Drosophila melanogaster: one gene and its partners. The protein of the gene in region 2 interacts with the protein of the main gene of each other region in a pairwise test. Each region holds a gene or a part of one and is shown on either strand. Other genes may lie near its edges. The genes, in order: CG17122, Ran and CG34453.

Region 1 (8,039 bases), on a different chromosome or scaffold from region 2:
TCAGCGGGGACCTGCATGTGCAGATCCAGTTCAATGGGAACGAGATGTCTTCGCAGGCGGAGGAGGAGCACACCATCGGTGGTGGCCCGTCCAACGAGGAGCCCTTGAGCTCCAGTGACGGGCTGAAGAGCAGGAACAACACCATAATGAGCACTTTAGTCATTAGCAAAATCATTGATGAAGTGGAGTCACCGCTGGAAAAGGGTTTGACTCCGGGCCCCGAGGTAACCAATACCAGCCAGGTGGTGCTGCATCGCAAGCGCAAGGAGGTGGTGCAGAATATACCGCTCTTCCCGGATCCCCGATTCAATGTCACCCAGGTGACGGTGCCATGCCAGACCTTCCTGATCGGAGGACGCTACGAGATGCAGGTGGTGAGCAATCTCAAGTCGGTTAACCGGAGTGAGGTGACCACCACATTGGTGCCCGCGCAGGATGAGCGACTCCACCAGACGCTCGATGTGCGATGGCCCAGTGCCGAGATGATAGTGAGTCCGGTGCGCCTGAAGACCTATCCCAAGCATCCTGTGGAGGTGACCCTCCGCTTTCCCGAGGTCAACTGCAATCAGTCGGGCAGTCTGGCATTGCCGGAATTTTGGTTGGAGCTAATTTACTGCGGCAAGGATCGCAGCTGCAATCGGAATATAACCCCAACTAGTGTCCTTTTTGCGGAGCAAATACGCGGATTCCCCAAAAACAAGAGCCTCCATCTGGGATGCGAACTATTTGGACTAGCGGGAAACTATGCAGTCCAACTGAGACCGATGATTCCCGCCCAGAACGTGCCCACCACCCGGCGGCTACTGAGCGTCGATTGGAGCGACGAATTCGTGTTCAACGTGTATGCCCGCAGCATATTTCCCTGTGATCCGCACACGGGAATCGGTGTCCTGTACGAGTATCCTGGCTGCATTCTCGAGCAGGGCGACCGGGTGCGTCTTTATGCTAGGCTGCGGGCCGATGTCGCCTCCCTGAAGCCACCCACGTCGCTCCACTATGTCTCCGAGCAGCGGGTCGTCAAGAGCCAGCATTCCCTGTACTTTGCCTGCGAGCACTTCTCCGAGAAGTACGTAGAGTACTGCTTCGTCTACGTCAGCCAGGCAATTTCCGGAGCCGTAGCCGATGTCCGGATGGACTGTGTGCCCACCCTGCCCGTCAGCGGTGAGTGGTCGATGGTGCATTAACGCCGTTTTTAACTCCATTAAAAGGAAAATCCCAATTAAGCTGGAGTTCAAATAGTTCTTAACACATTATTGCGTGTGCTCGCTACACTGAAAAAAATACCCTTTTAATTACTATTTCGCATTAATTTTTAAAAAAGCATAACTTCAAATTTTTTCACATTATTTAAATTTTAATCAAGCCCTAAAGCATTACAAAGGCATTTTTGAAATACATAACCCTCAAATAGTTTCATTTTCCCGCCCCATTATATTATATATTTAAGCACGCTGTATAAGTTTTGAAGTGATTAGCTCATGACACCACTCTTTCCGCAGACTCGGATACCGGTGGCTGGGGACCTTGGAGCGAGTGGACGCCCTGCTCCACAAATTGCTTGGGAGGAACGCGCAATCGCTACCGCTTCTGTGACTCACCACCCCCGCGATATGGGGCCAAATTCTGTGAGGTATGTAAGCCCAAATAACTCGCCAGATTAACCTCTGAACGACCTCTGCCTCCCCACCTGATTTGACAACGTTAACAGCCAAAGTTTGATTGAGTGCTCCCAGAAATGATTAATACTTTGGCGCATCTGAGCCATCAAGACGATTTCAATAAGTGCGGAACTACAACTAAAGACAGGCGAACTTCGCCCGACTCTGGGGACTTCGTTACCCAAGAGATTGCTTCCAGCTTAGTTCACACATTACACTCGACTTTCCTACACTGAGCGAATTCTAAACACTTTATATTAACTAAAAACTCTCAGCTTAGAACATATAAATGAGGGCATAGCCAAACTCAGCTAAAACTCAAATACAAGCTCAAACATTTTCATTAGTGACGAAACAAATACATTTTTTTATATTCCCAAAAGTAAAACGGATAAAATCTTGAAATTGAAAGGCAACTGAGTAATTCCTTGCAGTGTAGCCCGCCGGGGCAAAGTGGAACTATTTCATTGTTTTTGTTTGTGGGCCATGCCGTGGAGTGGACTGGCAGCCGGAGTGGGTGGCTTCGGCACGGTATGTTATGTTGTCTGCAAGCGTGTTTCCACACTGCGACACTTGCTCCAGATTGCGTGGGGAATTTACGACGCTTCCGACAATTGTCGGCCTACTGCGCCACGCTTTATCTTGTTTCTTTTGTTGAAGCGAGTGGAAGAATGAACCTCCGCCTCCGTCACTATCTGTTCCCGCACTGCCACCATCCACGTCCTCATCCGCGCATTTCATTATCCAAAAACTTCCGGCATCAGGATCCAGCGATAGGGGCACATTTGCCCGTACTTTGCCAACTTGTTCGGAACAATTACAGGCAAAGTTTTTAAATGCTCCGCACACTTATTGCAAGTAGTTCTTACACGGGAGTCGCGGACGCCACGGATGCTGGAACAATGGATTCGCCGTGAGGCGACTACAATTGCGTGGGCGGCTGTGTCCATGGGCCGGCTGCTGGAGGAGCACCCGGTCGGTGGGTGCCACACCCACACCCACTTGCCTCGACAATTTGCATTTGCCCCCAAAAGAAACGCCCGGAGGCGTTGCCGCCCATGTGCGTGTACAAATATTGCCCCACGGGCTATTAATCAAACAAAGCTCCCACACGGCAGGCACTATTTGCTTTTAGAAAACACGGGGAATAACCTTTTGTGACCACAGAAGCACCACAAACTCAAATTAGTGGCTTTCTAGTGGCGCTTTAAGCATTTTAAGGCAGTAAAATGTTTACCATATTCATGATTTAGGCAGAAAAACACATTTAAATTAAATTTAAATAGAATTTAACCAAAATTGTTAGTCATTCTGGGGAGAAAAATTTATAAAATGGAGCTTAAAGTTATATATCTATTTGTAAGGGGATAGCTAAAATACCTCTGAAAAAAAACTGATATTTTTAATGGTTTTTATAGAATATATTTGTCCAGTTTGGTTTATTTAAGGTAATGCTGTGGTTGAACTAAAAAATGATTCTTGTTCGCTGAGTTTCACTCTTTTCCCAAAAAAGCCACATCTGTAATGATATTCAGGTTCGCTTCCGAAAACAATTGGAAATAATAGTACATGTGTATACATATAACAAATGGATTCACTTTAAACTCTTTAGGTCCTTGGAAAATGCTTTACTAAATTAATAGTCGAGTTCCTTCCAGAAAATAAAGCTTTATGGTCAAACAGTAAAGGATATGGGTTCAGCTTTGAAAAGCTTTAATTTCCTTGACAACGGTTCATCAACTAGTTGTTATAACAGAGCTCATTTTAATTAAACAAAGAACGATGGGTGTGCAAATTCATACTTATAAACAATGTCACTGGCGTTTTGTAATTCTTAAAATATCAAACACTCGTCAAAATTCGTAGACAGTCAATTCTGATAACGAACAGCAGCCTCAAAAATGCCGCCGAAAGTGAAGAAGGAGAAGAAGGATGTGAACAAGGTGACCCAGGTGGACAGAACCTTCTACGAGCTGACCATCACGGATCTCAACCAGAAACTAGCTCGACTGCGATCCCACGTGACCACCGTCGATGAGTCCAACATCACGCTGACCGAGAAACTCAAGGAAGTGGAGGCCGATGGCGTCGACGTGGCCGCTCACTTGGAACGCACCCTGGCGGAGAGGAATAACTCGATCACCGAACTGGAGGAGCGCCTGGTAGAGATCACCAAGGTGCGGGATGTGGAGAACCGCGTGGCACAGGAGAAGATCGGCGACTTGGAGTCGAAATACAAGGCCATGCACGACCAGTTGACCTCCGAAATAAAGCTGCTTAATGGCAAGCTGAATTCCCTCGACGAGTTCCGCATCCAGAGGGATGTCCTGTTGGCCAAGTTCGATGAGCAGGAGGCGGATCTCAATGAGCGCGAGAAGGATCACAAGGAGGCGCTCTATAATATGGAACAACGAGCTGTGGTGGAGAAGGATGCGCTAAAAAAGGAGGTCGAACAGAAGCTGCTGCAAGTTTCCGAGGACTTCACCCGGTCCAGTGAGATCCGCAACGCTGGCTACACCCGCCGCCTGATTCGTGAGAACATAGCCCTGCAAAAGGAGATCGATCTACTGGTCATGTCCCAGATAAAACTGCAGCAGGCATATACCAACCAGAAGTCCAAGCACAAGGAGATGGAGGAGCAGTACAGTGCCCTCGATCAAATCAAAAACGAGCTGGTCCGCAACTCCGTGAACAAGATCAAAATCATTGAGGGTCTGACCAGGAACTACGAGAAACTGAAAGCCAAGTACGTGGAGGTACTGCGCTACAAGAAGGCCTATGAATCCCTTCTCCAAGCTGAAAAGTGCGAGAATGTCAAGCAAAAGGATGCGGCCGGAAAACTCCGGACCCTGGCCAAGCGAATGGAGATTTTGGATCTGGACAATCGAAATCTGGAGGTGGTCCATGCCCAGCACGAGATCGAGATTACTCGACTGCGTGGAGTCATTCAAGAGATCAAGTGCACTGTGCGGGATGCGATTGTGGCGGAGCAGGCAGCCAAGAAATTCCCGGAGAGATTAGTCGAGGCCAATGTGGATGATCCCGCAATGATAAATGAAGTTCGGGAGGAGGCCATATCCCTTTGCAAGCTGAAACGCAGCGATTTGCTCTCCCAGCTTATGAGCATCGTGAGCTCCCATTCGGAGGAGCTTCCGAAGACTCCATCGATTGCCTCCATTGTCAGTGCCACCTCATCGCTGTATGCTCCAGGTAAAATGGGCTTCATGCCCACGAGACCCAAAGCAACGCCATTCGACGCCTTCCGCAGCGAGGTCATCGAACAGGAGCCGGATCGCACCGTTCCGGAGGATCTGCAAAAGCAGAAGATGCAGGATCGGCTAATGACCTCGTTGCGAGGTGACGAGAATACCATAATCGATGTGGAATTCGGCACTACTCTATACGTTTCATCATCGCGCGAGGACGATCTCATTGAGGTGGAGGAGGAGCCACTGGAGGAGCCAGAGGGTTCCACCAGCTCCATGTCTGTGAAGAAGGCCAGCAGTGAGGGTTCAGTGGCTCCGCCCGAAACCGTACCGCTAGCCGTTTCCGCATCCTCGAAGGACATCAAGGGTGCTCCCAGCATTGGGGCTCTGGACACACTGACGGCCACATCCAAAATGACGGGTGTTACCAACGAGGACGAGGGCGAGGAGGAAGGCGAGGAGGAGGACTTCGATGTGCAGTTCGTCTACTAGAGGGATATGAAAATTGAGTTTACTTGTAGTTCCAATTTTGTTGAGTCTTGAATAAATATGTGCAAAGTCAAAAACGTGTTATTCTTTCGTTTAAATTCTTTAAATGTTTCATTAACATAGAAAGACTTCATGATAATTTCCATAGCTCATACACCTCTGCAGTTCGATTCGTCACTACTTTCTTTTCTTTTGAGCGCTTTTTTAAACTCTTAATAATATAATTTACATATGTATTTACAGGGTCCTTCGGTTGAGACCCAAAAGTGTGGCAAAAGCATCGCCGACACGTGGGACTGCATTTACGAGACTTCGGGTACAGTCATCACCAAGGAAAATAGCACCGAGGTGAGCCAGGAAATTGGACCAGGATGTCGTTGCGGCTGCATTGTACATCTGGGCTCTTCGAAGCCCAAAAGGATCATTGCTGGAGCCACACAGAGCTGTCCTGGCCGCTCATTCTGGCTAATACAGGTACAGACTATTAACCAATTCCATAACAACCTCTCAACTTACCAAAAAAATATAAAAAAAAAAATAGTAGAAAATAGGGAAAGTTAAGTGACGCTGCCCTTTGGCATTTGGTCAAGTTTTGAAAGCTTTCAAGTTGTCTGCCGCCATAACTATAAAAACGAACAATGCCAAACACTCAGATGTCCAAGTCCATGAATAAAATTCCGCTACGCTTCGCAGGCTGCCCCAAAATGACAAAGAAGCCCCCACTCAATGCTCCATGCCACAGGGCAGTGGTGCTCCGATCTGGACGCACATCGCTGGCCAAAGGGGGCTGAACTCAATTCATGCATAATAAATGCCCCACTTGGTAGGCGTTTTGGCCAGTCCCCAAACTATCAATGCGTAAGGGGTCCAATGGGGGTGAGCTGAACTTAATGTACTCGGTATTCTCGGTAGGAAGGGGTATGCTCAACGCTATCTTGGGAAAAGAACATCCATTGTCTTTTAGTAGGTTAAAAATTGCATGGAAATAAATTGTTGGAAAAAAGGCAAGAAAAGTGAAAGAAAAAAATTAACAAACAATTATTGGATACAAGCAGATTTATTGCTGGAAAAAATAATATTGAAGAGATTTTTAGAATAGAAAGAATCTCGGGTAGAAAAATGATTATTGACTCCGAGCTATACTATCGAATACTAGGAAACAAAGTAGATAGGAGGATATAAATAAATATTATAATGAAGAGGAAATAAATACCATATATATATTCGTATATAAATATACGAATAGAAAAAATTAAAAATTTAACTTTAAAAAATTATGAATGTATTGCAAATGTTTTTACATTTTGCTTGATACAACACCCTCTTGACATTCCACCAGATGTTGGGACCCATAAAGAGGCCTGAAGTCCAGTATATATATATATATTCAATGGGTATCAGATGAAAGGACTATCGACTTTTCCATCCATACACACTTTGACTCAGGCCCTTTTTTGTTCGATACAATTGGAATGATTAGACCTGCCAATTGACACGTTCGAGGGATGAGGGGAATGTGCCAATGGGCAGGAGGCTTAATGGTGATGAATGCCTGACCCACTTCGGCAGCATCCGCTTGCCCCATGCCCGGGAATGTGGGGAAACCCCAAGCCAATTGCCCGTATGTTCACGAACACAAAATTCCTTTTCTCGCAGGTGGATGGTGAGGAAAGCATTTCACTGGCACTGAGTTTCCTCCGCTTGCCTTGTGCCACCCAGTACATAAAGGTGCGCGATGGACCGTCGCTTTCGTCCACCCTTCTCGTGGAACTCAATGGCGGTGGACTGATCCTCAAGGGAGCCGGCGTTCCGGTGGTCGTCGATTCCACTGGTGGCCAACTCCTGGTGGAGTTCTCTGCCGGCGATGGACCGGCGGGCAATGCCACTCAGGAGGCAAGTCCAGCCTGCACCGGGGGATTCATGGCCAATGTGCAGCAGCGGTTGGGTGAGTAAAACTTCGATAAATATTCAACGAATTTAATAATTTAATTTAATTTAAATGTTCAACAGCTACAAGGAGCAGTAACAGTAGTATCACACTTGTGGCCGCCACTCGTTTGTCTGGAAAAACTCGCTCTGTTGTCCACAAGTCCATGTCAAGACTTCGATTTACCCTGGTTCATCTGAGTGCCATGATCTTTGCCAGCATAATCATCATAATTAGTTCCCTTTTAGGTGGGCTCTTGAAATATAAGTATAGATTTTATAGATGGTAATCACCACTTCTATCGCTTCTAGGTGCCCAATATGTGGTGCGATATCGGAAGTATCACCTGGCAGTGGCTCGGCGACAGGACGAAGGATCCAGACTTCACACTCCCAGAGCATCGCTGAGTTCCCTGCAAGGTCCTCCCTCACGGGCCATGTCCACAACAACTCTGCTTTCGGAGGTCATTTACATGGTGAAGATGCGGCCCAAACACCACTTGCGACACTCCATTCTCCGCGAGAGCGTGGACGCCGAAAATCTGACCAAAGAAACGGAGTTCAAGGAGTCGGATTCCCAGGGAATGCTGGCGAAATGGTAAGGCTAAAAGAGAGGTGGAAAAATAAAGCTAACTAAACTCGTTGCAGCGCGGAAATTAAGGAGCTGGGAAGCTCGGCCTCCATGGTGACTCTGCGCAACGAGAGATCGTCACCAGCGCGATCTCTGGATACTGGAAGTATCATTGGATCACCTTCCTCT
Region 2 (10,011 bases):
TAGTAATATCATATCAATCAAAGGGATATAGTACTATAGTTCCAACCAGATAATGATCGTTTATGTGCTTTATGTTTCCAGACTATCCTGGCCAGTGCTACTACGAGGAGCTCAACCAGGCCATACCCAAGAAACAGTCCTACAAGCCCATCAATCGCGAGGGCTACTGCCAGTCCATCTACTGCAGACCAGACTATGTCCTCGAAATTAGCTAGTAAGTTAAAAACACTTATTATGAATATATATTTTTAATGCATATTTACTTACGTTTACTTCAGTTGCGGTCGCCATAATTTGGTGCCCACGGAGAAGTGCAGGATCGCCTCGGATATGCGACGCACCTTTCCGGAATGCTGTCCCAAGCTGGTGTGCCAGGAGTCCGAGAGCAACTACATCTAGCTTAGACTCCTGGCTGCTAAGTATTATTATAGAAAAACATACTTCCTAGTATTGTACATTTTTATTTTGGCACAATGTTTGTTAAATATTACTTGTAAGTTCATTGCGTATTTATGTTGATAGGTTTATTGTTCTATGTTTTTGATATTCTTGCCGGAAATATATATGTATCTATTCTAACAAAAACCCAAAGAATGAAATTCATTGTATATATTTTCAGCCAAATGATAAGTTCATTGTAATTCAAGTAGGTTCTCCACAAAATTTGTTGCTTTAAAATCAGCCTAGAAACGCACAAAAACACTGTGGAAAAGTAAAGTCAATATAATAAATATAAAATAGAAATAATTTATAATAAATTTAATGATCTTGCTTTAAACTAAACTTTTGTATGTTCTTGCATTTTATGCGGATATTTTTGGGATTTGTGCTCAAAATTCAAAACGGAATGTTAGTAAACGGCAATGATTAATTTTTAATTTAATTTTGTTCCCTTTGAGACGATGATCCATTTGGACACCTTTGTACGATCTGGAAGAGCACACTCTCTGTGGAAACTACGCATCTGATCAGTCCGCCTCCCTGGCAATTAAGCAATTAGCAAGTGCTCGCGGAATCCCACTCAATCAAGCAGCTGAAAATGCAAATCACCACTGACTACTGACTGGCTGATTCGCAAACGAGCCGCGCTCCAAGTGGCTCTTTTGGGCAACCTATAAATAGGCAACGGGCTGGGCCAGCTCTCGGTTCAGTCTCGTCACCGCGCTCCAAAGATGCACAACCGTTGCGGATCCATTTGGCTGCTGGCGGCCGTCCTGCTGCTGCTGGCGCTCCTGCTTCCGCAGGCACTGCTGCCTACCGTCGATGCGGGTAAGCTGGCCATGGGATCTCCTACTACTGTTCCATATGTCATATGTAATCATATGTATCTTGTACGTAGCCAGCGAACCCGTGTGCTCCTACCGCAACTCGGAGGATGAGACCATCTTTCTCAAGTATCTGCCGCTGCTGAGACGCGGACAGGACTACGTGGACTTCGGCAAGGATGGCAAGTGCCTCAAGCGGGCCATCTGCACGGACACCTTCAAGACCATCGTGGAGGAGTAAGTGCATCATGACAGCGATCTTAATTAGCAACTTAGGTTGCATGAAGAAAACAAAATATTTCCTAGCTGAACTTTGCCCCGATCTCCACATGATTCTAACCAAGCCATCTACAATATCTTTTTTTCAGCTGTGGACAGCAGAAGGTCACCTGCGGCAACAAGGATCGCTTCACCGGAGTTTTCCCTGCCTGCTGCCTCAAGTGTCCCTAAATCCGAGGAGTTTCATTAAGAACAGTGTATTCAAATGTAGAAATGTAAACAGTAGACGATTAGCTAACGGAATATATGTGCTACCCATTCAATTACAGGGTATGCGATAACTATAATCTAGCATCATTTCCTTATCATCTTTCAAATGCAAATCCAGCTCCGTTCGTTTAGTTTTTTTTTCTTCGACGTTTATTTTTTATTTCTTTAGTTCTTAGATTAATAACATGTGGATGCGAATTCGGCGGCCTGTCTATAGGTTATTTTCTCATAGTTTCCAGTGTTTTCCTTTCTTTTCTTTTTTCAATAGTATTAATTTTCCTTTGGGGGGACTCAGTTCATTGGCCAGCTATTGCGCTCTCGCTCGCTCCGAGCATGCCGTCTCGCTCGTTTCTAACATTCACACTTTTGTTGAAGTAACTTGGTTTTTTCTTCCTTTTTTTTTTTGGGTGGAAAAGAACATTGGTGTTGCAAGTTTTAAAAAAATACGTTCTGCGACTATTTATTTCTCTTGGTTTTCGATTAAGTTGCTGTTGCCTGCTGCTTTAGCACTTTAATGACAATACTACTTACTTACTCCTTTTTTTCCAAGAGCCAACGTATAAGGAAACAAACAAAAAAAAAATCAATTATAACCGACTTATTAATGAATTGGGGATCTAAAATTTAAATACAATCGACGTATTAAGAAGGGCTTGTTTGTAGATTTTCCCAACGATCGATCGAAGAACATAGGCTGGCAAATCCAATAGTGTACGGATAGTACACTACTGCTAATGCTACTTCCTCTAATCCGTAATCCTTCATTCCCTCTTGCCACGCCTTTTCATACGGTGCCTGTGATTCAGTGTTCTATGTTCGGTGTGGTGTTGTGTGTTGTGGTTTTGTGTTTGAGTGTGTGTGTGTTTGTGTTTTCGCGCAAGTCGGATTTCGCTCTAAGTTAACTACAAATAGGCTTATAGCTCCTCGTCCTCGTCGGGCAGTGCGGTCGCCTGGGCCTCCTGCAAGTCACGCTCGATCTGCGCCTGCCAATCCTTATCCATCTTAACCTCGGGCGGCAGCAGGGCTGGCATGGCGACAAACTCCAGGTTGGGATCACCAACCAGCTTGCGCGCCAGCCAAAGGAATGGTTTCTCGAAGTTGTAGTTCGATTTGGCAGAAATATCGTAATACTGTTTGACAAAAAAGAAGGCACAAGCACAATAACGTTAACAAAATTTCAAATAAAAGTTCAGCTTTTCTTTATTTACCTGCAAGTTCTTCTTTCGGTGGAAGACGATGCTCTTCGCTTTCACCTTGCGATCCTTGATATCGACTTTGTTGCCACAGAGGACGATTGGTATGTTCTCGCAGACGCGGACTAGATCGCGATGCCAGTTGGGCACGTTCTTGTACGTGACACGCGAGGTAACATCGAACATGATGACGGCACACTGGCCCTGAATGTAGTAGCCATCGCGCAGCCCGCCGAACTTCTCCTGGCCAGCGGTATCCCACACATTGAAACGGATGGCGCCACGATTGGTATGGAAGATCAATGGATGCACCTCCACGCCCAGTGTGGCCACGTACTTCTTCTCGAACTCACCGGTCATGTGCCGCTTGACAAAGGTGGTCTTGCCGGTGCCGCCATCGCCGACTAGCACGCACTTGAATGTGGGTATATCCTGACCTTCCTGAGCCATCCTTCTAAGCACTCGGTATCTTCGTTAATGCAAAATTTCTGGAACGGTGAGCTGCAGATGGAACAATTGCGTTTGGCTGGTTAGCAACTTGCAACTACTATGCTACTTTATATATTTAAATATATATATATATAGCGGAGCTTGAGCAGGAACAGGAACAGGAGCGGAATGTGTTGGCTAGGATGTTGTTGGTTCGGCGAGCGCCAGGCGACTGACTGCCCGTCCTGCGAGCCGTCCAAAATGTGACGTGCACAATGGATGCGTCAAAGCCCGCCAAGGACGGCGACCAGCTGTTCGGCGAGGAGCGAGCAGGATAACGACAAAGGACACTGCAGCTGCCGCTCCCGCTGAGCCCGCAAGGATAAGAAGGCCGAGATGCCGAGCCAGAGCGAGATGGCCACAGGGTATGGCTGGCTGTGTGTGCAGGTAAGCAGAAATGCCAGGCGCACCAAACAACAACAACAACAAGAAGGCGGCAGGGAGGCGGAAGGATATACTCTGCATACTCGCACACATACATTCCCACCACGTTTATGCGCAGCCCAAAACAGTTTGCCACACAAAAGGAGACCCGGAAAACCCACGGCGGCTCTGACCCACAATTGACCTGGGTAATACTAATTTAAACCCGAGCATAGGAAACCAAAGTGAATAATAAATGCTGACATTTCTGTTCGCAAATAATTAGCGCGCATAAACGCTTGGCATAAGTTTCGGAATATTAAGCGTAGAATTGGAGACATTCAAAACATTCGAAGAAAAGCGCAGTGTAAACAAAATTTTCATACTAAAGAAACTTGATCGCGTTATTGTGTTTGTACTGTATATAGCATAACATTTGTTTATGATTTACTGCGAACTGTAATCAAAGATATATACAAATTTAAGAAGTTATAGAGAAGAAATATTGGTAAATATAGGTTTTGAATGAAATGGCCATATAGCAAATAGAAGTACTTTTTAAAAGAATTAAAGCAAACTACCAAGTTCATCAATAAAGATGACCATATTTTCAGCATGAATCAAGATCAGTTTCATCAATTTGAAATGAGGTGAATAATTTGAATGGATATATTTCGTAAAACGCTGAAAAAGGCATTTGATGACTCATTCCTTTTGGAGACTGAAATGAGTAACTTTTTAAGGATGGCAAGATTGTGAAATTCCTGCGCATCACACCACTGGTGCTGCCCATAAAAGCAGGAAAATTCCTTATTTTGAGTGCCGCCTGTAACGCCGGCAAATTACAAGCACACACACGCACGCATGCACTCGTATTGGTGAGAACCTGTGGACGCTGCGAAGCGCGCCAAAAAATAAAAATGCCGACATACAAATAGTGCAGCGTTTTCTTAGCTCATTTGCTGGCTGGCGAACAGCGCAGCAGTCGCGATTCACGTGAAAATCGCCAATCGCATTTATATATTCTAAATAACAAATCGAATTCTAACACACATACGCACCCACACATGCACACGCACACGGACGACGAACAGACGCAGACAGACGACGACGCCGACGTCGCCGCCGGCAGAAGAAACATGAAGCAAATTCATTGCCGTTTTTTTTTTTTTGCGATTCATGTTTAACCTCACAAAATGCGAATGGCATGGCAGTCGGCGAGAATGTTCCGATGGCCAAAGGACAAGGACATTTGTCCTGCTTCGGTGTGGCGTACGGAGGAGCTGACAGTCCCAATTGGACGGCGCTTTTCCACTGCAGAGCTTGCCATGAGCCGGAAAAGGAGGGATAACAGCACGAGGCGGCACCACGTCGTTTTTCTTTTTTTTTTGTCAGCGAAATCTCTGGAAGCTCTATACGCCACTTGTTTTGTACAACTCTAGCCGGCAATCGGGCTTGTTAACCGGCTGGACTTGGTGGCCGGAAGCCGGGTGGGCGGTGGCCGGGTGGACAGACAGCAAAAGCCGCTGGGTCGGGAATAAAGCACACAATTCCAGGCGAAGCGACGCCGTCGTCCATATTGCATGCGAATTTGGGGCGTCACTGGCGTCATGCCGCACAGCACTTATTCACATCACGGTGGCGAATTAGCCAGGCTGGCAGCGAATTTGCACACAATTTAAAGCCCATTTTGTAGTTCTACTTACATTTTGCTCGAAATTCCTAGAAAACCACAACTTTCTTTTTTGCCGAAACACAATGCAGTGCTGCCAGATTTGAGTGATAAATGAAGTATAGCTGTTGCCTCGATGTTTTCGTTATCGGCCAGTGTGACCGTGCGAGCATAGAGAGGTTCCAAATTCTGGCGCTTACTTATATACCATCCACACCATTTGCAATTATTTAATATAATATATTAAATATATGGCTTAGTAGATATACAGAACACGTGTAGTAACAAAAAAAAAAACTGTCTATCAAATTGTAATGAAACTTTTTGAATAAATAATAAATAAAATTACGAAACTTTTGAGATGCCGTACGACGGAATACGCTCTGTGAGCTGAGTTAAATAATAAATATAAATAATAGTGCAATGTAATAAAATAAATAATAATAAAATAAAGTCAGCGGAGAACTCTTATCGTTAATAGGGCGGTTCATGATATTTATTGGCTGTAGTACTGGAGAAGGTGGCATTTAAACTCCTTCCACTTGTAGACGATTTTCTGCAAAACTGTAGATAAATTTTTGATGAATTTTTTAAGGATCATTACTTAATTAGGCCTACATAAGCCTATAAGCACGGCATTCCGGAACACGCTCTGTCAACAACACCAAACATAAATGACTTTCATGGGTACTTTTTTGTATAGGCTTGTTCATATTTTGACCCATAAAAAAAAAAAAAATAATAAAAAACTTTCCAATGTTCAAAAATTTCACCGTTCCGCCATCGACTCTAACTCATCGACGCTAATTTGATGGTCTTGCGTGCATTTTGGAACACTAAATAACGAAAAATTAATTTTTAAAAAACTTCCCCATGTTCAAAAATTCCACCGTTCCGTCATCGAAGTTATTGACGCACATCGTCCTTATTTCTCCAAATTCATAATTAAACGCATATTAAGATTAAAAATTCGCTACGAGAACGAGCACATGTATTCATCTATCTGGCAACGCCACCAGTTGATGCAACACATTTTTATCTTAAATTGCGAAGTTCCTCGGCCAGATATCAGTTACGAATGTAGTGATCAATCTATCACATTTTCTAACCACATTCGGTTTCAATTCCCACCCCACTCCCTTTCGAAAATTTGCCCAAAATTCCCACAAGTGCATCAATTGCAACGCATCCGAAATCAGTCGCGTGCGTGATTCGTACGATAACCGTCGTTATATATATAGCGTCAATATAATCGGAACAAGATGAGCAAGTACCATAAGGAGCGCAAGTACGCCAAGTTCAGGTACTACATGGAGAAGTACTACGTGCTGCCGCTGGAGCTGAAGAACGACATCATCTACTGCCAGCGATCGCTGCGCGATTTCCTCAAGGTTCACGCGGTAAGTGCACCATGGCTCCTTGGCGAACACCAGTTAATTTGTTTCCTTTGTCTCTGTTCTCTCACTTACGCAGTTGGTCTCGGAGGTCTTCGATGAGCAGGCGGATGCGGTGGGTTTAATGCCAGAAGACTGCAAGTCTTTGTCCTTTGTTCTCTACGCCACGAGAATTCCCGATTCCCCAGGGTGAAGGTGTTCGCCCGTAGAACACCACCCAACCCCCCTCCCACTACACACAACCAAAAAAAAAACCAAAACAAAGAACTGTATGTAGATGAAGCTATGAAACGTAGTACTTAGTTTAGTTTTTTCATTTCAAAGAAACTGATGTACTCGCGATAATTTTCTAGAGTTGGGTTAGAAACATGAAAGAGGCAACTGCGTTTTAAGCAAAACTAATAATGCACAAAAATTGGGTCAAATGTTTTCATTTCCAAAGGAACCACGTTCGCATCTCTGAATTTTTTCGAAATTACTTTCACTTTTTTTTGAAAAGAAGACATATGAGAATTATGTATATGACGAAATCCATCATCTATATGAGCAAATATTGCTGATTTCTTAACAGCATTAATGCGCATATTCTTTAATGCCGCTTTATTTCAATATTTTTCCAACGTGCATCCTTATCCATCAATCTCAACCTCATTTGTGATTGAAATGTATTCCCTTTTTTGCTCAGTGCTTGTGGTCATTAGCGTTTTTAATGGCCATTAGCACCTGTGCAGCTTCCACCTAACAATCCCAGCCACACCTAATGTGACACTCACGTTCTTGTCGTCATTAGGATCCAGTGCAGATGCGTCGCATCTTGGACGAACTGGAGGAGGAGGTGTACGAGATCAATGCCGAGCAGCAGTTCCTTCTGCTACGCCTCAACGATAGCCTACAGGAATTCTCCGTGAAGCTGAAGGAGAACAACATCATGTTCCTGCCGGACATCGCCCATGAGTACGTTTCCGCCCAGGTAGTGCCTTTGATCGTCGATCCCAACTATAAGATTATGCCACAGTCGGTGATGGCTCGTGATACCGAGGAGATGCTTATTCGCAAGCACTTCCTGCTGAGCCAGGACGATGATTCTGGTATGCCGCCGCTTAAGCTCAGCGAATTGGATGAGAATATACCATTGATGCTGGCTCCGCCGGTTAGGGGATTGGGTCAGCAGATCGCCGCCGTTAAGCCGGAGCCAGAGTGGCTCCAAGGCGATGAGGCGACAGTATCAGTGCCACCGCCGCCGCCACAATCGAAGTCGAAGCTGATGAAAGGGTCGCTGGATTCGACCCCGGCCAAGCGAGAGAATATCAGCCGCAGCTCACCGCCGCCCTTGGCGCCTATAACCCAAACCGTAGTGGCTGAGTTGTCACAAGTACCTCCATCACCACAAGCAGAATCTCCACCAGTAAACTTTCACGTTGTGGCCCAGAGTCGCAAGAACTTGCAGCAGGCATTGAGAAGGGCCAGAAAGACGAAGCAGCAGCCACGTTTGTTCGACGACGAGGAGGACCTGGAGATCACCAGTTTGCAGAACGATCGCAACAAGAACAGAACCAGCGATGGCAAGGGGACACCGCCATCGCTGGAGCCAACGAATGCTGCCGCCAATCAGGCAGCCAAGAAGACCATCCCACAAATGTCTAGTCAGGGGATGGCGAAGAATAATACCGCGAAGAGCAAAAACACGTGCAGGAAATCCTCGCCAACGCCCACATCCAGTGGACAGTCGCAGCCAGCGGTATCGTCATCCGGCAGCTCCGATGATTCCAGTGCCGAGCTGCAGCAGGAGCAGCAAAGACGCGTCGCATCCGCCGCCCAGTGGCGCGATGAGCCGCGCGAGAGCCGCACCCAGCCGGAGGAGTACGGCCAGGAGACGTTCCTCGGCCTCTTTGAGCTCTACTCGCCGGAGGTGCTCAAGAAGCTCAGTCAGCGCCACTCGAAGCGCAAGCGTCGCACCGTTCAGAATGCCAGCGGAGTGGATTTTCACTATGGCCAGCAGTTGAATGCCGTGGACGCGTTAGTCATGGGCGTTCGTGGTCAGAAGAAGACCAAGGAGAAGTCCGAATTCCTGCTCTCGCCGACGGAAAAACGTTTGCAGGCCAACTCGAAGAGGACGTACACACGCAAGAGCAAGTCGCCGGACGAGATTTCGGAGAAGAGCAGCGCAGGAGGAGGATCTGGCGCATCGGGAACTGCGTCTTCATCAGCCTGTCAGCATAAAGACGGCGGTGCCTCCAAGTGCCGCAAATGCCGCGAGTGCCGTGAATGCAAACGTCGTGTGGGTGAGTCATCCACCAACCACAAACTTGTTGAGTTGGTTTTCTTAAATTCGTATTACCCATTTAATGATTTTATTAATATTTTATTGTTTTGCTTGTTTTTTTTTTCCCAGAAACCGAAGCGATGTACTGCCACTTGTGCAGCGGATTATACCACATGGACTGCCACGAGTTCACCAAAAATCGCCAGCTGATGCAGCTGCAGAACTCTCGCTGCCCCCCATGCTTGCGCGAAAAAGATAAGTTGGAGAAGTAGTGCGTTGCCAAGTGAGCCATTGATGTTAAATGTTTCTCATTCTTGCATAAAGGATTGTATATATTTGAATCAACCCTAGTTGGTATGCTGAGTTCGTGTTTTTATATTAAAATTTATTATTACTTAAATGATTATATGATTATATAAATGATTATTATATTCTTATTTTATAAATATACTAATTAAAACGAATGGATATTCTATTTGCAAACAAAGAGAATGGTGTTACGCAGCAGGAGTGATTTAATTAGGTATATGAATAATATTCATATTGTTTCTTTTTCGCAAACAATCGAGTCTGTTCCACTGATAGCTGATTGACCCGAAGTCGGGATCTATGCCATATATAGCCATAATCAATGGTTACATATTGAATGTAAGTACCTTATTTGCGATCGGAAAAATGATACGAAAAAATGCACGAGTAAACGGCAATAAAATCTTAAGCAGAGCAAGAACATTCGATTTTAAGTAATAACAAAAAATTGTTTGTATTTATCGAACTGTTGATATTACATTGAGTGTTGCTGAGTATTGGAAGATGTATATACACATTGCCGGCTAAGAGCACAGAAAGCAAACAGTCTAGTTTCGCATCCGCTGGAGCAGCC
Region 3 (6,850 bases), on a different chromosome or scaffold from region 2:
AACCATATTCTTAAGACTACTGGAATTTACATCAATGGAGATGACTGCGGCGTGGGAGACGGAGATCGGGACTGCAGCGAGGGATCGAGGTTCTGGACAGCGGCGCGGGATTCTTATAAGATTGGACGGCGGCGTGGGACCTTTTTTGACGGCAGCGTGGGAGTTTAGGACTGCAGCGCGGGAATTTCTGACGGCGGCGAGGGATCCTCGGTTTAATTTTTCGGCAATTGGTCAGCCATCGCATTCCATATACATGCGTGTCACTCCATTTATTGATAGTTCAAAGCTGATATACTTAGGTGGCGTGATCAGCGTAATCACGCCTCCAAAAATACGCATCCCTGATTATCCCTTATATGGAAAATCTTCATTGAATATACATTTATTTACACTTCTGGAATACCGGAAAGCAACCCCAATACTTATGCCGATGATTCTAATACATGAAACGATTTAAGATCACAATAAATTGATTTTTGAAAAGAATGCTAATCTTAATTTGGTTTATTGGGTTTTGGTAAAATTTTATAATTGCTCAAATGGAAAGGTTTCCATAAGGATAAGTCCTGCCAGGGACTGTTGCATTATAGGTTGAATAAAACGATCCATTATTTTTGCCAATGACAAATGGTGGATTTACGATTTTACCTTGGGATGGGTTTGGTTGAAGAACGCCAGTTACTCCTGGTTGGTGATTATTACTGGCCACCCAGACGCTGGAAGGACCTGAATCTTGCGCTGGAACGCTACCTGGTAAAACGCCATGAGATCCCTGATTGGCGTGAACCAACGAACGGTTCTGATATGGTATTATAAATCCGGGTGCCTGGAGGACAGGTTGGTGAACCGCCGGGGCAGTCAAATTGGACTTTTCGACAGCTCTGTGAATCGTCGAGTGGTTGTATACACCGCTATAGGTGCGGGCGGGCGCGATGGCATTTGGGCGACGAAAAGCAGGGTCAGCTAACACCGTGGACTGGAACTGCAGATGCCCAAAAATAATAGCTGAGTAGAAAACGGATATTTTAGAAGGAGCTTTCACACAGAATAAAATATATTTATGTATATAATGTACCTAAGATTACGACCAATTGATAAATCGCCTCCATGTTTGCAAGTATTCTCTCTGAAATTCAGAACGGAACTGTCTTGGGAATCCATTTCGAAATTTTCTACAAGTGCGTCAAGGTTATCTTGATTGTTTTGCATTAGTATGTATTTATTTTATTTATATTATTTTGCGTTGTTATGTACTGCGTGGCGTCTTATCTCTGTGCCATAATAATATTTAAACTGAAAATATCTTAGTTGGAGTATATTAATCTATTACATTAAATAGCTGGTTGTTGCATATCAACCTCGCGTCATCGCAAAAAGACCCTCACAAGAACCTCTTCGAACTATTTGAATGTCTAAAAACGAATAGTGAAGTATATTTTCGATTAAAAAATAATAATATAATGGATATAATGGACTCACCAGCTCCACAGAAACGAGCACAATTAAATTTTTCCTCGTTCATATAAAGCTGCATATTGCTGCCGCAAATGGGATTGTATTGCGATGTGGTGGGACAGTTACCAAAGCAGTTCAGAAATTCCTTGGTTGGGGCCGGTGCTGGTACAAATGGTGTAAGACCTCCTGGTATTCTTACATTGTTAACCAAAACTAAGTTTGCGCTGGTGGGCGAAATTGGTATTGACGTCGTTGCGGCGGCATTGTTCCATGGGCTACGAGATGTTTCGAAAATTAAAGGTTCTTGGGCTGCGCCCAACTGACTTAAACAAGCAAAAATAAATATTGGATGCCAATTGATGCACATCTTTAACTGAATCCTGAAGCTTATAGTCGTATGTGCTTTCGTTCGCTGATCGAGGGAAACTGAACCAACACAAGAATCAGCTGCACTAAGCATAAGGAACTTCACATATACTGGAAAGTTTTAATTCAGTGAATCAAAATACAAAGTAGTAAATAAGATATGGGAACGCCACTGAATACAGGTTTCTAAAGCAGTCAATCGTCTGGAAAATCCAGTTCTGTACGATGCCCGCTATCAATTTTAAGTTTATTATCATGTGCTTATATTTGCAATAATCTAGGGAAATCCCAGATTTGATTCATCAAAAATATGGGTTGGAAATGACCAACAAGAAACTTTAAAATTCGTGATGACTTATCCAATAATAATATTATAGTAAGGGACTGCTGTAATTCGAGGGCCAGGCATGGAAAACGCAGGAGAAACATATTGCATAGAACGCTCCAGCTTTTGGTAGTTTTTCGAAATAGCTGCGAAGCCAATGGTAGCTGAAAATCTCTTTATATTGTTGTACCCATACAATTAAATGTAGGTGCACTACTTACAGCTTGAAGTGGAAGGCACATTAAATGGTTCTGCACTCCATGCATCAGTGCCATTCTGTACCATTTCTTGCTTGTAATCTGGACTCAAGGCTCTTTGTAAGCATTTTCCCATATGGATGCTTTCCTTAGTTCGCCCACAGCGACAGACGGCCAGTAAAGGTTTGTACATCTCCGGAGATACGAATCGCGATTCGCCTTGGTTGTTGTGCACAAAAGGGCACAGGTCTATAGGGTAGAGTATGTGAGTGCACAATTATAAACCTCTATGTAAATATACCTTTTAATTTTAGCTGGTTACTTAGTTGAGAATTAATCTCAGATTGGTGGTAGAACTTGTTAGTTTGCTTGCCCGAAATTTCGCTCCAAGCTTTTGGAAAACTACGACGCGAATTGTGCTCCATGCGCACTTGCTCCTTTCTAAAATTGTTAATAATATCTGCTATTCATATTTTAATAAGATGTGCTGAACTCTTACAGCTTTCCAATCACTTTAGCAGGTTCCATCGTTTTATTATGTTTAACTAGTCAATAATTTTGTTTAATAAACCCGTTTTCTGCGCACGCTCGCCATGGCAACCAGTTAATTAGTATTTTTATACCCATTACTCGTAGAATAAACAACTTCTGGACAGTCTAGTAACGACTACGTTATATAGTGACATTTGCAACCGAAAGAAGACTTTTGGGAAAGTTCCATGTATAACTGCTTTAAAACTGAGAGACTGGATTGCGTAGAAACTGACGGACGGGCTTTGTTATGTCGCATCGTCTGCTGATATTGATCAAGAATATAGGAATATAGTTTGTGATCATAAAGGGTACCTTCATTGCGAAGCAAATTTCGGACTGTTACAAAATATACCCTATGCAAGGGCCTACAAAAATTTCAATGCAGATCAACAAATGAGGATTTTGTTGTTATTTTAGTGCAAAGAATCCGTCTAATAATATTAATAAGCTATTTAAGGTATATTTTTGTTTTTGCTGAGTAGGTGTGAATTTAAAAGTCCAATGAGCAGTAAACAAACCAAAGACTAAATAAATGCAAGTTATTTTCAAAATATGCTGAACATTTATTATAAGCTTGTATTTTTACAAGTTACATACGCCTAAGTTTAAACCTACAGCATATGATAAGGATATCAAATGAAATGCATGCTGTTTATTTACACTTTAATGTTTTGTACAAAGGGGGTTTTACTTAATTATTTTTAATCTTACAAATGTCTGGTGAATATGAAATTTATTGCATACTGGTGTACGTTACTAAATATGGTCAATATGTACATAATTTATTATAATTAATTATATGTGTTTTTATTGATAATATATGTTTATATAACATTTGATTCAAAATAAGAATACATAACTGAAGGACGTTTTTCAAATTGTTAGAAGTGTCTTTATAAACTATAATCATTTGTTCTAAAGTTTTCAAGGGCTATTATTTCTTATGTTCTTTGGTCAAAAACATTTTCGCGAAAATTTTTAATTTTTTGCACAAAGTATGACTCTAGTGCTTCAGCACACTTATAAAAGGATGATTCTTTTGGGTTATAGTAACGGCAGTTGTCAAAAATTTTTGTCATATCGCCTATAAACTCAGATAGTTTGGTATAGGTGTTTGATTCGAGTTTAATTTCCATCCGTTTGAGATCTATAGAAAAAAATATCCCCATTTTATTTATTTTCGAATAAATTTATTTTTTGTGTTACATACCCATTGGCTCTTTAATCACTTTGTAATAATCGGGTGCTTCCTTCGGATCAACCGGTTCCATAAATGGCCAAGCACTTTTGTGTAACTGTAGGGAAATTTAATATTTATTCCATTTTTGATGTGCTACAGTTGAGAGTTTTTCGTTAGCCAGAAATGAATGTGAAACGAATGAACGAATTGGATATTTGATTCACTTGGTCTTGAACTTATAATACTTTCGTTCTGTTCGTTACTTTGTAATATTTTTTCAACAATTTTACAAACATTACCGTATTTTAACATGTTTGATGCCATCAATATATAAACGATTTGTTCGTTTATCTAACACAGAATAACGATTCCCACAAAATTAAATTTTATTTAATTAAGGTCCCTAATAATAAATAAAAATTATTATGAATTTCAGGTTATTACCTGCATCTGCTTAATTAAGTTTTTCAGCTCTTCAACGTCATTTGAAGTCAGTTTCTTCATATTTGCAGCGTTAGCATCGTTTTTGCGTTGGCATTCAGGGCAAACATATTCATCAATAAACTCTGCTTCGCTCTGAAGTATTCCAACGCAACGGCCATGAAACCAATCCTGGCATTTATCACAGCATATATAAAATTGTGACTCGTCGTATGGTTGACGACAGCTACAGTAAAGCTGTTGCGTTTCTCTCGCCCTCTTGCAATCAATGCAAATGAACTCCGATAGTTTTTTAGAAGCTTCCTCGGTAATACTGACACAATCCCCATGGAACCAATTGCTGCACAAGTCGCACCCCACGTAAAACCTACATAGACACAATTACAATATATTAATTAAAAGCGCGTTAAGAATATGCATTTCTGCATTACTTTGTGTCATCATATGGAGTACGGCAAATGCAATACAACTTTTCCTTTTTTCTTGTCAACTTTTTTGGTCGGCCTGCGCCATGTCTGGGGTTCTGCACCTCTGTCCTACGATTTGATTTAGGTATTATTAGATATATCATATTGCACACAAGTGCATGAGTATACGTACCGTTTAAAATCTAAATTTGGTTCGCCACTTCTCTCATTTTCGCTTTGTTCATCCGGTGAAGCGTTACTTAAGGGGCGTACATGTCTTTGGACTTTAGTTTTTACATCTTCGTGTATTTCGCTTTGTAAATTACGCTCTAATAAGGAACGCTTGCGCAAAATATTTTTTTTAAGCAATTCTTTATGACGTTCCAATTGCGATTGCTTTTGCTCTCCAAGTTCAGCGACTTCGTCATTCTTGCTCCGATTTTTTTTTAAAATTCGATTAAATTGGCTGCTTGTTGTCATAGCATTTGGGCGTCTTAAGGAAGTACGAATTTTCCATTCAGTGTCATCAGTTTGGCGACTGGGAGTTAGTGCTTCCTCATTCACACTGCCCCTTGAGCATGTTTCCCACTCATTCGTCGAATTCGCATTTTCTTGTTGCTTCTGCATACAAACAAGTTTTTCTTCAAGTTCCGGACTTAAATTACCTTGTTTCAGAGCATTTGAAATAGCTGAAAATCATGGCACTTATTATTTCAAACACATTTGTATTTTTATTCATTTTTTAACACTTACACTTCTGTATGTATCCTCTGGTAACAACGAAGCTTTCGTTTTGTTTATTTTCTAAGTCTGTTTCTGATATATCGAGGCCGGCAAGGTTAGTTGGTTCATCATGTTCTGAACCCTCTAATAGGGAAGATGTACCGGCAAAGGACTCATTAGTTGTAATATTAGAATTTTCTGTTTCTGCACATTTACTGTTTTCCTGATCATCGCCATTATTAATAGCAATATCTTTAATAGTTGAATTGGCTTCGTAAGTTGTTGCTAGCGTATCGGCGTCGATTTCGATGTTGTTGGTCTGCAATGAACATCGTTTAAGGTCTTCACTTTCATATTTTAGGCGATGCTGCTCAATATTGTCTTGATCTTCAACTAGAACTAGATTATAAATTTTTAATTTTTTTTGCTTGCAAAATTGGCTTACAATTATTGTTGGTGCGGCACGGCAATTCACTTCTTAAAATTCTACCTTCGAATACTTCACGGGGAGGTGAAGGTACAATTTGATTCGGCGGACTGCAGACGACAATAATCTCATCATCATAATCTTCTTCTTCTTCAATTTCTTGCACAAAATAATTCGAATTCATCATACGAGTATAAGCTATTGATACGCCGCCACCAACCTAATCGTTTCCAAAAACGTAAGTTATTTTCAAAATTTGAGAATTTGATTGCGTTAATATGAACAAATACTAAGAGCGCAAAGAACAAAATTTAGGAACACACCTACCTGACTTTAATCAGAGATCAGTTGTAGAATTTACTCCAGGCAACCTTTTAATGTGTTTTATTGAAGTTGTTGTAGTTGTCGAAGAGATTAACACGTGGTTAGGAGTTGAAGTTGTTGACACGTGACATTATGGCATGGTTAAAAGTTTTTAAGCAGTGGAAGCATGAATTTGATTTTAAGGTATATGGCACTTTCATTACAGAAATAGGATAGTATTTAAATTGGATTAAAAATTATAATGCAACTTGTGTAAAAGAGATTAAAATGCTATGAGACTGGTGTACGGATATGTAAGGTGTATATAGGCCGTGTTATTGCAAAATTTAATTTTTGACAAGTGTAAACTTCATTTCGATTTAGATGAGATGATTATAAAAATGGTAAAGCCTTTGTGTTTATTATAAAGGACATGTCAGAAAATCTAGCTCAGTGGCGACATTAGCACATGCGTTTTATATGGAGAAATCT

Evidence for each region.
Region 1: the proteins of Ran (region 2) and CG17122 interact in a two-hybrid assay, tested with the Drosophila melanogaster proteins (one large-scale study listed by BioGRID).
Region 3: the proteins of Ran (region 2) and CG34453 interact in a two-hybrid assay, tested with the Drosophila melanogaster proteins (one large-scale study listed by BioGRID).

What each region holds. Positions count from the first base shown.
Region 1 is NT_037436.4:20,270,775-20,278,813, reverse strand, and holds CG17122 (uncharacterized protein), read left to right. Parts: upstream 1-3,478; 5' UTR 3,479-3,559; coding exon 3,560-5,356; 3' UTR 5,357-5,425; downstream 5,426-8,039. Other genes in the region: gogo (golden goal), read left to right, coding at 1-1,161, 1,500-1,630, 5,597-5,827, 7,010-7,298, 7,364-7,528, 7,592-7,877, 7,928-8,039.
Region 2 is NC_004354.4:11,142,981-11,152,991, forward strand, and holds Ran (Ran), read right to left. Parts: upstream 5,601-10,011; 5' UTR 5,506-5,600; intron 3,617-5,505; exon of another isoform or gene 3,436-3,616; 5' UTR 3,398-3,435; coding exon 2,963-3,397; intron 2,885-2,962; coding exon 2,669-2,884; 3' UTR 1,872-2,668; downstream 1-1,871. Other genes in the region: CG15202 (uncharacterized protein), read left to right, coding at 82-214, 279-399; CG15201 (uncharacterized protein), read left to right, coding at 1,173-1,269, 1,340-1,502, 1,634-1,715; Lint-1 (l(3)mbt interacting protein 1), read left to right, coding at 6,734-6,871, 6,945-6,980, 7,656-9,147, 9,258-9,400; rtv (retroactive), read right to left, coding at 9,986-10,011.
Region 3 is NT_037436.4:230,481-237,330, forward strand, and holds CG34453 (uncharacterized protein), read right to left. Parts: upstream 2,872-6,850; coding exon 2,843-2,871; intron 2,785-2,842; coding exon 2,645-2,784; intron 2,593-2,644; coding exon 2,368-2,592; intron 2,311-2,367; coding exon 2,177-2,310; 3' UTR 2,000-2,176; downstream 1-1,999. Other genes in the region: CG42846 (uncharacterized protein), read right to left, coding at 536-1,005, 1,076-1,109; CG34454 (uncharacterized protein), read right to left, coding at 1,354-1,412, 1,480-1,822; E(bx) (enhancer of bithorax), read right to left, coding at 3,819-4,024, 4,088-4,172, 4,502-4,865, 4,930-5,034, 5,099-5,594, 5,659-6,021, 6,074-6,275.